Linked DNA regions of Saccharomyces cerevisiae S288C. The protein of the gene in region 3 binds, or shares a complex with, the protein of the main gene of each other region. Each region holds a gene or a part of one and is shown on either strand. Other genes may lie near its edges. The genes, in order: ARC18, ARC19, ARC40 and ARP3.

Region 1 (3,467 bases), on a different chromosome or scaffold from region 3:
ATGCAAATAGGGCACAAGATAACTTGATCAGGCAAAGGTTAGAGCTTATCTCTAAGGCTGACATTATGATAAGTGATACTGAGAATTTATTTAAAAGATATGAAAAACTGATTTCTAGCGAAAAAGAGTATTCTAATATCGTAGAGGACATCAAAGCTCTGAGACAAGCTATAAAGAATTTTAAGGCTAACGAAAATGACATGTCAATTGATGTAAACGGAATAAAAAAAGCTACGGATGCGCTACAGGGTAGGGCATTAAAATTATTCCAAAGCGCAACAAAAAACCAGCAGAATCAAGGTAAATAAGTGAACAAAACACAAATAAGACTTGTATATTAACGTGTATATCGTTCATTAAAGCATATTTTGACGTATTTATACTTTATACATTTATATATTTCTTTCCCGTTTCAAATTTTCGGTTCAAATAAAGTTGCATGTGGATTATTATGTTCCCATAAATTCTAGTTTTTATTATTTTCCTTGCACCGTATACCTTTATAGAGATTTGTTCATGAATCTTCTTCTTGTGAACGCCAACCAAAACTTTGAGGGATATTCCTTAGAATCTGTAGAGCTATAGACTCTTTCTAATAGTCTCATTGCCAATTCTTGACGGAATTGCTGAATATAAGTCTTCAACAAGTCCATCGAATTATGATCTTGTACTGGAACTTGGTAAACATTATTCAGAGGGAAACCCGGTGTACCTGGTAAAGTAAAGTTGTCCAAGGCCACATTGGTTAACACTTTGACGGCTTCGTTAAATGACGTTGTTATTTTCAAATGGGCTAGGCAATCATTGATAAAGAGAATTCCGTAGATGAGCACTCTGTCGGCGGGTGATTTAATTTCAAAATTCTTGAAGAAGGAATTGGCACGAAATAGGTCCAAGCACTCGTCGATAATATCGTAATCGGAATTGCTGGGGTATGCAGGACCCCTGAACTTAGTGTTCAAGGGCAGAAGCGCAAAGTTCCCTACCATGCGGTCAGTGTTAGGATCTACAGGGAAAGTCGAGTGATACGCAGGCATTTATTAATATACTGGGAGTGGAGAGACTGATAATACCAATAATCTTCCTTTATTGATGTTTGTTACTGCGCACCAAGTGTTTAATTTATTGTTATTCATTGTTATACTAAACCAAACCGCAACGGAAAGGATAGGGGTTCGTGGTGGATGATCCGCGTAACGGCCGAGTCTGTGAAACTGAGAGAGAATGATAGTGAAAACAATGGTATGGAAGTCCGAGGTCCTAAGGCTTGAAGAAAGTTTTTAAAGGGCATTATGACCAGTGAGTACTGACGACCTAATTTAATAACAGTATTGAGCCGATTAGGTTTTCCTGGATTTTTTTTTTGCTGTTTTATAGCTATTTTTTTATTTGTTGTTTGTGGTCATTAATATATTCATTCGCTCTGTTAGTGTAATCGATTACAGTGCTCTATTACTGCTGACTTAATTGGACAATTCATCTCTTTTCCTGCGGTTATGAGCGAAACCAACGTTGACAGCTTAGGGGACAGAAATGACATATACTCCCAAATATTTGGTGTAGAAAGGAGGCCAGATTCCTTCGCTACTTTTGATAGTGACTCGCACGGAGACATAAGTTCTCAGCTGCTGCCTAATAGAATCGAAAATATCCAGAATCTAAATGTTCTGCTTTCTGAAGACATTGCTAATGACATCATTATTGCCAAGCAGAGGAGACGTTCTGGAGTTGAAGCCGCCATCGATGATTCTGATATACCAAATAACGAAATGAAGGGGAAAAGCTCAAATTACATTTTATCGCAGCAGACTAATATTAAGGAAGTTCCAGATACACAAAGTTTGTCTAGTGCTGATAATACACCTGTGAGCAGTCCAAAGAAGGCAAGAGATGCCACATCTTCCCATCCCATTGTTCATGCTAAATCGATGTCCCATATATATTCAACGAGTAATAGTGCTAGTAGACAAGCCAAGCACTATAATGACCACCCTTTGCCTCCAATGTCTCCAAGAAATGAAGTTTACCAGAAGAATAAAAGTACTACAGCTTTTGTGCCTAAGAGGAAACCTTCGCTCCCGCAACTAGCACTTGCTGGTCTTAAGAAGCAGAGCAGTTTTTCCACCGGCAGTGCATCAACCACTCCTACACAGGCTAGAAAATCGCCTTTGCAAGGGTTTGGTTTCTTTTCGAGACCAAGTTCCAAAGACTTGCACGAACAGCACCAACATCACCAGCATATTCAGCATAATAATATTAACAATCATAATAATAATAATACTAATAATAATGGCGCACATTATCAAGTGGGTAGTAGTAACAGTAATTACCCTCAACATTCACATTCTATATCATCTAGATCGATGTCGTTGAACTCATCTACTCTAAAAAATATTGCATCATCTTTTCAATCGAAGACTTCTAACAGCAGGAAAGCTACGCAAAAATATGATATAACTTCCAACCCATTCTCAGATCCTCATCATCATCATCATCATCATCACTCTTCAAACAGTCACAGTAGCCTAAATAATGTCCACGGGTCTGGAAACTCCTCAAGTGTTATGGGAAGCTCGTCTAATATTGGGTTGGGTCTTAAAACGAGAGTTTCTTCCACCTCATTAGCTTTAAAAAGATACACTTCGGTTTCAGGAACTTCTCTATCTTCTCCACGTAGAAGTAGTATGACACCTTTGTCGGCATCTAGACCTGTTATGAGCGCTTCATCAAAAAAACCTCAGGTATATCCAGCTTTGTTGTCAAGAGTCGCCACAAAATTTAAAAGTTCGATACAACTCGGGGAACATAAGAAGGATGGATTAGTTTACCGTGACGCATTTACAGGGCAGCAGGCAGTCGATGTCATCTGTGCTATCATTAGAACTTCTGATAGAAACTTAGCCTTGTTATTTGGTAGATCACTAGATGCACAAAAGCTGTTCCATGATGTGGTATACGAGCACAGGTTAAGAGATTCACCACATGAAGTTTACGAATTTACAGATAACTCAAGATTTACAGGAACAGGTTCCACAAACGCCCATGATCCACTGATGCTACTCCCAAACTCATCATCTTTTAATTCCGGGAACCACTCTTATCCGAATTCCGGAATGGTTCCATCAAGTTCAACTTCATCTTTGAATAGTGATCAGGCAACTTTGACAGGGTCGAGGCTACATATGAGTAGTTCATTGTCCCAGCAAAAGAACCCTGCAGCCATTCATAACGTCAATGGTGTGTTTACATTACTGGCGGAATGCTATTCCCCTACGTGCACAAGAGACGCTTTGTGTTACTCTATTTCGTGTCCAAGACGTCTTGAGCAACAAGCAAGGTTAAATCTGAAACCAAATGGCGGCCTGAAACGTAATATATCAATGGCATTGGATGATGATGACGAAGAAAAGCCATCTTGGACAAGTTCCGTATCTAAAGAGGATTGGGAAAACTTACCAAAAAAGGAA
Region 2 (3,365 bases), on a different chromosome or scaffold from region 3:
ATTGGATTAGTTAATTGCGCACGCATATTGTTCAACCCTCTATAGAGAACTTTTGTGTAATCGGTCAATATCAATCTAATTAGACCGCTCCCAATAGTCACTGTACTAGTATCAGATGACAAAACTCGTAAGGTTTTAGTCAGTAATGAGGTAGTTTTCGAGAATTTCCCATGGTTATTTACTTGAGCATAATATGACCAAGTCTGTACCAATTGAGCACCAAATCCTCTTTGGAAGAACACTATTAGAGGTTGGTAATCTTTGGAGAGAGTTTCATCTTCGACTGCACTGATTATACTTTCTAGTGTTTCTAATGTACCGTCTTCGAACTCTTTCCCTTGGGTGTACTTCTCCCTTCTCTGGTCGCGAGATCCATAGGCTTCGCTATGATTACTCATTATGTAAGTGCTCCTCTAGTTCTGTTAGATGAAGTAGTACCGCATAGATTAGAGAAATAATATCCAATCAAGAATATAACCGAACTATTCTTTGCGATGAGCTTTATTGCTGAAATTTTTCATATTTCGTCTACAGTGATATAATATTGAAATCCTCATGCAAGTCGTGCATAGGTAAAAGCTGTTTACTATATGTTGGTGCACTATTATCATATAATTTTAGTTTGGTCGTATACTAGTGCGGCAGTAATAATAAATGCTTTAGAATCTTCAATCTTCATTTGTTTACGTAAAATGAAAACGTTTTGTGTTAGAATTGACAGATTGAAGTTTAATTTTAGGTGTCGGGAGAAACATTTTAATCCCTTTTTATGAATATAATTTAAGTACTAAAAAAATCACCATAATTATACAAAGTAACTGCAATTTAAAAGTACGTTTATAATTAATTCACATACACATGTTATTGTATCTAACTAAATAGTCTCGAAATAGTTCAATTGAGTACGCAAACTAACACAGTCAGTACAGATCGTAAAGTTTTCCGTCAATAGGGCCCTGACGGAGAAAGATTCCCTTTCCTATATTAGGAATCTAATAGACAAATTCATCAAGATATGCTTCCGCAACAAATCTTGCTCTGGCATTCAAAAACAGTTTAATTTCACTGATTTCCTTATCCACGTCCTCCATGAATTCAATAATAAAATCAACCAATTTCCCAGTTTTCATTGATTCAGTATGCTTATTAGTTATTAGAAAAGAAATACTGTAGCCAGGTATTGGTACACGTCTCAGAATGTAGAATGCTTCAGCACGCTGTTCCAAAAATCTAGTAAACTTGTGAACTAAAATCTGCTCAATTTCATCTGCCTGTTTCACCATTAAACTCATACGCACCGAGTTTACACTGGGCTCAATCAATACTTGTTCATTTTCATTACGAGATATATGCATCGGTTGGAGCAACAATTCGGCGCTAGTGTTAGGGACTTCAACTTCCGGTCTGTTGTGCCTCTCCACTTCCTGCGAAGAGAAATTGCTCAAAGTCAACGCAGCTTCCAGGGAATAACGAACAGCCGTTAGATACGGACGTAATGATTGTGACATTTCCTACTATCAGTTGCTTCCTCTTTTATCTTTTGTCAAAGTGACACCGAGTTGTTCCGAAAGCCTCTATTTGCTTGGCTTTACAGGCTTTTTTTGTTCTATAATTGTATTTTGCTATACAAAAGGGGCGACGTGGTAAACGATATGAAATTATCGACAATAATAATGTACTTGGAAATCTGGCAGTTGATGACATCGCAATAGCGTGCCTACCTATCAGGATAACAAGGTCTGAAGCCAGATCGACCACTAGACAAGCATTGCCGGAGGTGGGAGACGTGAAACTATGTCTATTTGGAAGGAAGCTAAAGATGCAAGTGGAAGGATATATTATTACAATACTTTGACAAAGAAATCTACGTGGGAGAAGCCCAAGGAACTAATTTCTCAGGAGGAGCTACTTCTTCGAGAAAATGGCTGGAAGGCGGCCAAGACGGCAGACGGCAAAGTATACTATTATAATCCAACAACAAGAGAAACCAGCTGGACTATTCCGGCCTTCGAGAAGAAAGTAGAACCCATCGCAGAACAAAAACATGATACAGTATCCCATGCACAGGTTAATGGAAATAGAATAGCCCTTACGGCTGGAGAAAAACAAGAGCCGGGACGAACTATAAACGAGGAGGAAAGCCAATATGCTAATAACTCTAAACTGCTTAATGTCAGGAGAAGGACTAAAGAAGAAGCAGAGAAGGAATTTATTACCATGCTGAAGGAAAATCAAGTAGACTCTACTTGGTCATTCAGTAGAATTATTTCAGAACTGGGGACCAGAGATCCAAGGTATTGGATGGTCGATGATGACCCCTTATGGAAGAAAGAAATGTTTGAGAAATATCTTTCCAATAGATCAGCCGATCAACTTCTTAAGGAACACAATGAAACAAGCAAATTCAAAGAAGCCTTTCAGAAAATGTTGCAAAACAATTCTCATATAAAATATTACACCCGTTGGCCTACCGCAAAGAGACTAATTGCCGACGAACCAATATACAAACACTCCGTGGTCAATGAAAAGACAAAGAGACAGACCTTTCAAGATTATATAGATACCCTCATCGACACTCAGAAAGAATCAAAAAAAAAATTGAAAACACAGGCCCTAAAAGAACTAAGAGAGTATTTAAACGGTATTATAACAACATCATCCTCTGAAACTTTCATAACCTGGCAGCAGCTTTTAAATCACTATGTTTTTGATAAGAGTAAGAGATATATGGCGAACCGGCACTTCAAAGTCTTAACCCACGAAGATGTTTTAAACGAGTATCTGAAAATAGTAAATACGATTGAAAACGATCTTCAAAACAAACTAAATGAGCTCCGACTGCGCAATTATACCAGAGACCGTATTGCTAGAGATAACTTTAAAAGCTTATTAAGAGAAGTGCCAATCAAAATCAAAGCAAATACTAGATGGTCAGATATTTATCCTCATATAAAGTCTGATCCGCGCTTTTTACATATGCTTGGAAGGAATGGCTCGTCCTGCCTTGATTTATTTTTAGATTTTGTTGATGAACAAAGGATGTACATCTTTGCACAAAGATCAATAGCCCAACAGACGTTGATAGATCAAAATTTTGAATGGAATGATGCCGATAGCGACGAGATCACCAAGCAAAACATAGAAAAAGTTCTGGAAAATGACCGGAAATTTGACAAGGTGGATAAAGAAGACATCAGTTTGATTGTTGATGGTTTGATAAAGCAAAGAAACGAAAAGATACAACAGAAACTCCAAAATGAGCGTAGGATATTGGAGCAAAAGAAGCACTATTTTTGGTTACTTTTGCAAAGGACATATACAAAAACCGGTAAGCCCAAGCCTAGTACGTGGGATTTAGCTTCCAA
Region 3 (4,252 bases):
CTTTGTAACAAATTGATCAAAAGCTTTGTATTTTTTTTTTTTTTAGCTCGGCTGCGCGCTATTACAGTAATTACATGTAAATAAACTATTCCAAAGAATACAAAAGAAGAGCTTACAGTAGCCAGTCAAAGTCGCTGTGAAACATACACGGCGTTGTAGTCACAGTATGGAACACAATCTTTCACCTTTACAGCAAGAAGTATTGGACAAATACAAACAGCTTTCTTTAGATCTAAAAGCTCTGGATGAAACTATAAAAGAACTAAACTATTCGCAACACAGGCAACAGCATTCACAGCAAGAAACTGTATCGCCAGATGAGATACTACAGGAGATGAGGGACATAGAGGTCAAAATTGGTTTAGTTGGGACACTGCTAAAAGGTAGCGTGTACTCGCTTATCTTGCAAAGAAAGCAAGAACAGGAGTCTTTGGGTAGCAATTCTAAATAATGGTTTGGTGCAAGAAATTGATTCTGATGCTTTATTTTTTACGGTACACTACATTGTGCTGTGAGTTGTAATAATATAGTCTGTATATGCCAAGTGAAGAAAAAAACAATACAAACTCAAGGTGTATTATGAGGTAGGGAATACACATAACAATATATATATATACGTATGTATATTTAAATTGTATAAATGACGATCTTACCGTCTAACCCACAGGAAGAGACTTGTGTGATTTGGCCGTTGGATTCCGCAAAAGGTCTTAATTCCACAATGGCGTTTTCATGTGCACTTTCTTGGACATCTGTGCTAACTTTACCTTTCAAGTCTAATTCTTTAAACTTTCTCAATGCGGAAATACCGAAAGTTGAACTTTCATCATTATTACCACTCAGCTCGTCTGTATTACCAGATGCAGTTAAGGCAGAAGACTTGTTATTGTCTGATTTGTCTAGATTCTTCGCAAATTTCCAGCCTTCAGAGGCTTCGCTGAACAATACCGGATGACAAGAGTATCCTCCACAAACAATCTCGTGGTCGTTTATCCATACTAAGGACCTGTAAGGTAAACCTTCCGGAGCATTGACAGATTGCACTGGAGATTGGTAATCGACAACATTCAAAGTACCATCATGCGCTACATAAGCAATTCTTTCCATCTGACTTCTCCATTCCACATCATGGATATAAGAACCCTGATACCACTCCCTGATTAAACAACCAAAAGGGAATTTCTGGCCCCAGGGTGATCCGGCGACGGATTCCTTGGAATCCAAACCCTTGATAAACCCGCTGAACACACGCATAAACCCATCAGTACCACCAGCAGCTAATAGGACTCCATTTGCATGCCAAGACAGGCAATTGATGGTAGATTTGATGGGTTTCTTGATGTGCTTGGATACCCACCAATTATTCTCGTGTTCGTAATAACAAACAGCGATGATTCTAGCACTGGACCCAACAGCAAACTTATAACCATTTGGTGCCCATGTAACTGAAGTAGCTGCTCTGTTAATACGAAGAAGTACTAACGTGGGCTTGTATGTCCCATCACTCAATGGCTCCCAAACGTAAGCATTACGGTCTTGGGAGCAAGTCACAATACGACCATGTATGGAAATGTCCACAGCAGTAATGGTTTTATCATGATCTTTCAACGTTGCGAATAAAACGGGAGGTGTGTTGTTTGAAACTCTATAGACAAGACAATCTGTTTCGCATGTAACGGCTAAAATAGATTTATCTTGAGAAAAGCAATGAGAGTAGATTGGCGCTTTGACCAGCTTGTAGACGGCAACAACGGACTTGTCTTTAGAATTGGAAAATGACATTAGGAGACTCTCAACTAATATACGTTTACTTCGGCTTATTTTTCCTATTTTTCTTTGTTTCTAATCTGGAAGCTTTCTCGATCAAGATTGCTCTTATTTGACCCTTTTTCATTATAGGCAAGGCGCGGGCGGGTGACAAGAAGATTTTGATAATTGTGCAACTGATAACGTAGGATTCATTATCAACATTGTTGTTAAAGAGTAACAAGGAAATCTAAGAAATGGTTGTGCTTGTTGTCGAAGAAGTGATAGAGACAGTGTTTTTGCCAGCCAATTCTCTTTAAGAATAGGCCTTTCTTGTAGGATTAATGGTTAGTAGGTTTTATCAGATTCCAGGTACGCATCGGCCATCGTCGGCAATATCTTCTTCAAATGAATCTTCTTCACTGTTGTCTGCAAGGAGAATAAGTCAAACATATTTCAATTATCAGGCGACCCCTGAATGCCAAAAAGTTTCCTCTAAGTATGATCCTGATAACCCAAACAAAGATAAGTTGGGAACATACGATGGGGTATTTGTGCCTACTGCTTTAAACGTATTGTCTATCCTTATGTTTCTTCGTTTTGGCTTCATTTTGGGTCAGTTAGGTATTATATGCACCATCGGTCTTCTGCTATTGAGTTACACTATTAATCTTCTCACCACGTTAAGTATATCTGCTATATCTACAAACGGGACTGTTAGGGGCGGGGGTGCTTATTATATGATTTCAAGAAGTTTAGGACCTGAATTTGGTGGATCCATTGGGCTTGTCTTTTTCTTAGGGCAGGTGTTCAATGCAGGTATGAACGCAGTGGGTATTATCGAACCTTTACTCTATAACTTGGGTTATTCTGCTCAAGGCGAGCCACCTGCAGCTTTGGGAGAGCTACTACCAAGAGGGCATTGGCACGAATTTACATATGCCACGGTCATTCTTTTCTTATGTTTTTCTGTGGCTTTTGTTGGCTCGCAAACAGTGTCAAGAGCAGGGAATATTCTTTTTTTGGTACTGGCAGCTTCTATATTTTCCATTCCACTTTCTGCATTGATAAGATCGCCATTCACTGAAGGCGGTATCAGTTATACAGGTCCTTCATGGCAAACTTTTCATGATAACCTGCTCCCTCACTTAACAAAAGGTGCAGCAGGTTCGTTACTCAAAGGTAAGGAAACATTCAATGATTTATTTGGCGTTTTTTTTCCTGCTACAGCTGGTATATTCGCGGGCGCAGGAATGTCAAGTGAATTGAGAAAGCCCTCTAAATCAATTCCTAAGGGTACCTTATGGGGTTTACTTTTCACTTTTATCTGTTATGCCGTTGTTGTCTTCTCCATGGGTTGTTCCATTCCCAGAAGATCGTTATATGATGAAGTACAAATTATACAGACGATCAGTTCCGTTCAGTGGGTTATATTCATGGGTGAAATGGCTACTTCTCTTTTCTCCATCATAGTGGGGATGCTCGGTGCTGCTTATGTATTAGAAGCAATTGCAAAGGATAACATTATTCCTGGTTTGGAGATTTTTGCTCATTCACCGTTATATTCATTGATTTTTACTTGGATTCTAACACAGCTATGTTTGTTTTCAGACGTCAATAAAATCGCCACATTTATCACAATGACATTCTTAATGACGTTTGTGGTCATGAATTTGGCGTGCTTCCTATTAGGTATTTCCTCTGCTCCCAATTTCAGGCCCTCTTTCAAATACTTTAACAGGTATACTACAGCAATTGGCGCATTACTTTCTGTTGTTGCGATGTTAATAGTTGATGGCATCTCAGCGTCTGTCTTGTTTTTGGCTATGATTTTGCTATTTTTATTCATTCATTATTTTTCACCACCGAAGTCTTGGGGTGATGTGTCTCAAAGTTTAATATATCATCAAGTGAGAAAGTATTTGCTTCGCCTACGTCAAGACAATATTAAATACTGGAGGCCTCAAATATTGCTGTTTGTAGATAATCCAAGGACGAGCTGGAACTTAATAAGGTTTTGCAATCATTTGAAAAAAGGTGGTTTGTATATTTTAGGCCATGTTGCAGTAACTGCGGATTTTCCGAAGCAACTAAATGAATTAAAAACTCAGCAGAAAGCTTGGATGAAGATCAGAGACATGGCAGCAATAAAGGCTTTTGTCCAAGTTGGGACTGGTCCCTCCCTTATATGGGGAATTAGGAATGTTTTTATTGGTTCCGGGCTTGGAGGTATGAAACCAAACATTACTGTTGTCGGTTTTTTTGACCTCGAAAGTTATAGAAAGCACATCCCACAAAGTCGCAGCCAAAATAACCTTCAGAAACAGGTGGAAATAAAAGCTACAGTGCCACGTAGTACATGCTCTGATGTCAAAATCAATGTTCCATTGCCTACGGATGAGTGTAAAAATGAAACCAAAGTTAATGTACAACAATGGGTTCAAATTGTAGAAGATCTATCACTGATGCAATCCAATATTGCCATAGCGCATGGATTCAAAAATTT
Region 4 (4,518 bases), on a different chromosome or scaffold from region 3:
GGTACATGTTCCAGAATTTACGAGCAGGAGTTTGGTACTACTAAGGATCGTATGCTGATTATCGAGCAAAGTAAAGAAACAAAAACTGTAACATGTTTTGTTCGCGGTTCCAATAAAATGATCGTGGATGAAGCTGAACGTGCATTGCATGACTCACTATGTGTGGTACGTAACTTGGTTAAAGACTCACGTGTAGTTTACGGTGGGGGAGCAGCCGAAGTGACTATGTCCCTGGCTGTCTCTGAGGAAGCTGATAAGCAACGTGGTATTGATCAGTATGCATTCCGTGGATTCGCCCAAGCGTTAGACACCATTCCAATGACTTTGGCTGAAAATTCTGGTCTTGATCCAATCGGAACTTTGTCTACATTGAAAAGTAAACAACTGAAAGAAAAGATTTCCAACATTGGTGTCGATTGCTTAGGTTACGGGTCTAATGACATGAAGGAACTATTTGTCGTTGATCCATTTATTGGCAAAAAGCAGCAAATTCTTTTAGCTACTCAATTATGTAGAATGATTTTAAAGATTGATAACGTCATCATTAGTGGTAAAGATGAGTATTGATTTTGTATAAATAAATAATAAAAGATAAGTTTTAATCACATATCCCACAATTTTTTTTCTCAGATCAGCATTTGGGGTTACTTGATTGTACATATACGTGTATATAATCAGTTGTATACGTATATTTAAATGAAGTGAGGGGCGTTTCAGTTATTTGCATTTGTTTTTGTACCTTTTTCCTTATAAGATGAGTCATGACTCAATAATCAAACCATGTTGAAAAGGCTGAAATTTCTAACAATTTCCGGACCATATTCCTCATAATCTTTCTTAGTGTGACAGTAGCCTTTGAATTCGGCTGTTTGTGCCAGCAGCGAGCCACCAAACCAGACAGCGTTTCTCTGCTTCCGATGAGAAATCACGGAAACATCTACACCAGTCGATTTAGTTCCACTTAACAGCTCACTTTGTGCGATTCTGTTATTTACGATAGACTTTAGATCTCTTTGTAAACGACGTCCAAAATCTTTGAACATGGTAGACCCACCTGATAGTACAATATTGTTGTATAAACCTTTACGGACGTCAATAGGGCAAGCCTGGATAGTTTGATCCACTACCGTGGGTAAAGGAGTCAAGAAGTCTGAGGATGCAATTTCTGGATTGAAGAAGATTTCAGGTGCTAAGAATCTTTCGTAACCAATATCTACGACTTTTCTCCTTGTCTTTTCTTGGTTTTCCACCACAAATTGGGCAAATTTAGAAGGATCTTTATCGAATTTGTTAAACTCCTTTACAATATCTGGACAGACGTAACAGTATTCTTGCTTAATCTTTTCGGCAGTTCTCAAGGAAGTGTCTGCTTCACCACGTTCTCTTAGCAAGGATTGGATGAACAATGTGATGTCTCTACCGGCTATTGGAATGTTTTTAATTGCTGAGCCAATGACGTAACCTTCCGCCACTGGGATGACGTGGGTGACACCATCACCAGAATCTATAACAGTACCAGTTAATGATCTATCCGTGACTTTTGAAGAGGTCCATGACGCAGCCAGAGCCAAAACTGCTTGCACAGCAATATATAGACCAGCACAATTAAATGATTCAAAAAAAATCTCCGCCACTTGCTCTCTGTTTTCTGGAGGATTCAGTGGTGGTTCGGTCAATAGGAAAAAATGATCTTCAGGCTCTGTTCTTAAATACTTGAAGATGGAATTTTCCCAGAATCTTTCCATGTGATCCCAATTTTCCACTTGACCGTGTCTGATTGGATAGCTCAAAGAGTAAGAGGGTCCTTGGGATGCTACTAAAGCCTCATTTCCAATATAGAAATCCAAATCTTCTGTACCTCTTTTACCGGATAAATTATTAGACAGCAAACCACCTGTTGCACCATTGAAATTGGTTGCAGAGGTGGAATTTCCAAAGTATGATGCTTCATTACTAACTGCTGAGGGCGCACCAACGCCCGAGGACTTCTTTGTATTTGAAGGTGCAGCTGTGGCTATTGCAGTAGGGAAGACCCAGGAGGGAGAATCATTACCGGCGAAACCGAGCTTGGTCAGCCCGGTACCATTGTCCATGACAACAGCGGGATTGTTTAAGTATGACATTGAATCCTAATTTCTTGCTCAATCGTGAGGCCTTACGGTAGGGCCAATTCTTGATTAAACTACTCTCATATATTTTTGTTTGAAACTTTTGAAAAGGGGTTCTCGCCATTTTGAAGCCGCGGACAGCCGGGTGACTACTGAAAGTCCTTATCGAAGGGTCTTCTTGAGCTTACGTTAAAAAAGAGCCATAGTAGCTTCACGAGAGAGTCATTGGTAAAGTGAAACATACATCAACCGGCTAGCAGGTTTGCATTGATATGGAACCGCATGAGGAGCAGATTTGGAAGAGTAAACTTTTGAAAGCGGCTAACAACGATATGGACATGGATAGAAATGTGCCGTTGGCACCGAATCTGAATGTGAATATGAACATGAAAATGAATGCGAGCAGGAACGGGGATGAATTCGGTCTGACTTCTAGTAGGTTTGATGGAGTGGTGATTGGCAGTAATGGGGATGTAAATTTTAAGCCCATTTTGGAGAAAATTTTCCGCGAATTAACCAGTGATTACAAGGAGGAACGAAAATTGGCCAGTATTTCATTATTTGATCTACTAGTATCCTTGGAACATGAATTGTCGATAGAAGAGTTCCAAGCAGTTTCAAATGACATAAACAATAAGATTTTGGAGCTGGTCCATACAAAAAAAACGAGCACTAGGGTAGGGGCTGTTCTATCCATAGACACTTTGATTTCATTCTACGCATATACTGAAAGGTTGCCTAACGAAACTTCACGACTGGCTGGTTACCTTCGAGGGCTAATACCTTCTAATGATGTAGAGGTCATGAGACTCGCTGCAAAGACTCTGGGCAAGTTAGCCGTTCCAGGAGGTACATATACCTCTGATTTCGTGGAATTTGAGATAAAGTCTTGCTTAGAATGGCTTACTGCCTCCACGGAAAAGAATTCATTCTCGAGTTCGAAGCCAGACCATGCTAAACATGCTGCGCTTCTGATTATAACAGCGTTGGCAGAGAATTGTCCTTATTTACTCTACCAATACTTGAATTCCATACTAGATAACATTTGGAGAGCACTAAGAGACCCACATTTGGTGATCAGAATTGATGCGTCCATTACATTGGCCAAATGTCTTTCCACCCTACGAAATAGGGATCCTCAGTTAACTAGCCAGTGGGTGCAGAGATTGGCTACAAGTTGTGAATACGGATTTCAAGTAAACACATTAGAATGCATCCATGCAAGTTTGTTGGTTTATAAGGAAATCTTGTTTTTGAAGGATCCCTTTTTGAATCAAGTGTTCGACCAAATGTGTCTAAATTGCATAGCTTATGAAAATCATAAAGCGAAAATGATTAGAGAAAAGATTTACCAGATTGTTCCCCTATTAGCATCGTTCAATCCTCAATTATTTGCTGGCAAATATTTGCACCAAATTATGGACAACTATTTAGAGATTTTAACCAATGCTCCAGCAAATAAAATACCACATCTCAAAGATGACAAACCACAGATTTTAATATCGATTGGTGATATTGCATATGAAGTCGGGCCCGATATCGCACCTTATGTGAAACAAATTCTTGATTATATTGAACATGATTTACAGACGAAATTCAAATTCAGAAAGAAATTTGAAAATGAAATTTTCTACTGCATCGGAAGATTGGCAGTTCCCTTGGGCCCCGTTCTAGGTAAATTATTAAACAGAAATATACTGGACCTGATGTTCAAATGCCCTCTTTCCGACTATATGCAGGAAACGTTTCAAATTCTGACTGAGAGAATACCATCACTAGGCCCCAAAATAAATGACGAGTTGCTTAACCTAGTCTGTTCAACCTTATCTGGAACACCATTTATCCAGCCAGGGTCACCAATGGAGATACCATCGTTTTCGAGAGAAAGAGCAAGAGAATGGAGAAATAAAAACATCCTACAGAAAACTGGTGAAAGTAACGATGATAATAATGATATAAAAATCATTATACAAGCTTTTAGAATGTTAAAAAATATCAAAAGCAGATTTTCGTTGGTGGAATTCGTGAGAATTGTTGCACTTTCTTACATTGAGCATACAGATCCCAGAGTAAGGAAACTAGCTGCGTTGACATCTTGTGAAATTTACGTCAAGGATAACATCTGCAAACAAACATCACTACACTCTCTGAACACTGTATCTGAAGTGTTATCAAAGCTTCTAGCCATTACGATTGCGGACCCTTTACAAGATATCCGTTTAGAAGTTTTAAAGAATCTTAATCCATGTTTCGATCCCCAGTTGGCACAACCAGATAATTTGAGACTCTTGTTTACTGCACTGCACGATGAGTCGTTCAATATTCAGTCAGTAGCAATGGAGCTTGTCGGTAGGTTGTCTTCCGTAAACCCTGCATACGTCATCCCATCGATAAGAAAAATACTACTGGA

The links.
Region 1: ARC40 (region 3) and ARC18 share a complex: the UniProt entries of both Saccharomyces cerevisiae proteins name them as parts of the arp2/3 complex.
Region 2: ARC40 (region 3) and ARC19 share a complex: the UniProt entries of both Saccharomyces cerevisiae proteins name them as parts of the arp2/3 complex.
Region 4: ARC40 (region 3) and ARP3 share a complex: the UniProt entries of both Saccharomyces cerevisiae proteins name them as parts of the arp2/3 complex.

Annotation. Positions count from the first base shown.
Region 1 is NC_001144.5:861,218-864,684, forward strand, and holds ARC18 (Arc18p), read right to left. Parts: upstream 1,038-3,467; coding exon 501-1,037; downstream 1-500. Other genes in the region: Hsp70 family ATPase SSQ1, read left to right, coding at 1-308; Rho family guanine nucleotide exchange factor ROM2, read left to right, coding at 1,497-3,467. UniProt on the Saccharomyces cerevisiae protein: Functions as a component of the Arp2/3 complex which is involved in regulation of actin polymerization and together with an activating nucleation-promoting factor (NPF) mediates the formation of branched actin networks.
Region 2 is NC_001143.9:416,516-419,880, forward strand, and holds ARC19 (Arc19p), read right to left. Parts: upstream 1,509-3,365; coding exon 993-1,508; downstream 1-992. Other genes in the region: URB1 (Urb1p), read right to left, coding at 1-398; snoRNA-splicing protein PRP40, read left to right, coding at 1,795-3,365. UniProt on the Saccharomyces cerevisiae protein: Functions as actin-binding component of the Arp2/3 complex which is involved in regulation of actin polymerization and together with an activating nucleation-promoting factor (NPF) mediates the formation of branched actin networks.
Region 3 is NC_001134.8:684,811-689,062, forward strand, and holds ARC40 (Arc40p), read right to left. Parts: upstream 1,783-4,252; coding exon 628-1,782; downstream 1-627. Other genes in the region: DAD3 (Dad3p), read left to right, coding at 167-451; VHC1 (Vhc1p), read left to right, coding at 2,091-4,252. UniProt on the Saccharomyces cerevisiae protein: Functions as a component of the Arp2/3 complex which is involved in regulation of actin polymerization and together with an activating nucleation-promoting factor (NPF) mediates the formation of branched actin networks.
Region 4 is NC_001142.9:557,036-561,553, forward strand, and holds ARP3 (actin-related protein 3), read right to left. Parts: upstream 2,124-4,518; coding exon 774-2,123; downstream 1-773. Other genes in the region: chaperonin-containing T-complex subunit CCT5, read left to right, coding at 1-567; phosphatidylinositol kinase-related protein kinase TOR1, read left to right, coding at 2,381-4,518. UniProt on the Saccharomyces cerevisiae protein: Functions as ATP-binding component of the Arp2/3 complex which is involved in regulation of actin polymerization and together with an activating nucleation-promoting factor (NPF) mediates the formation of branched actin networks.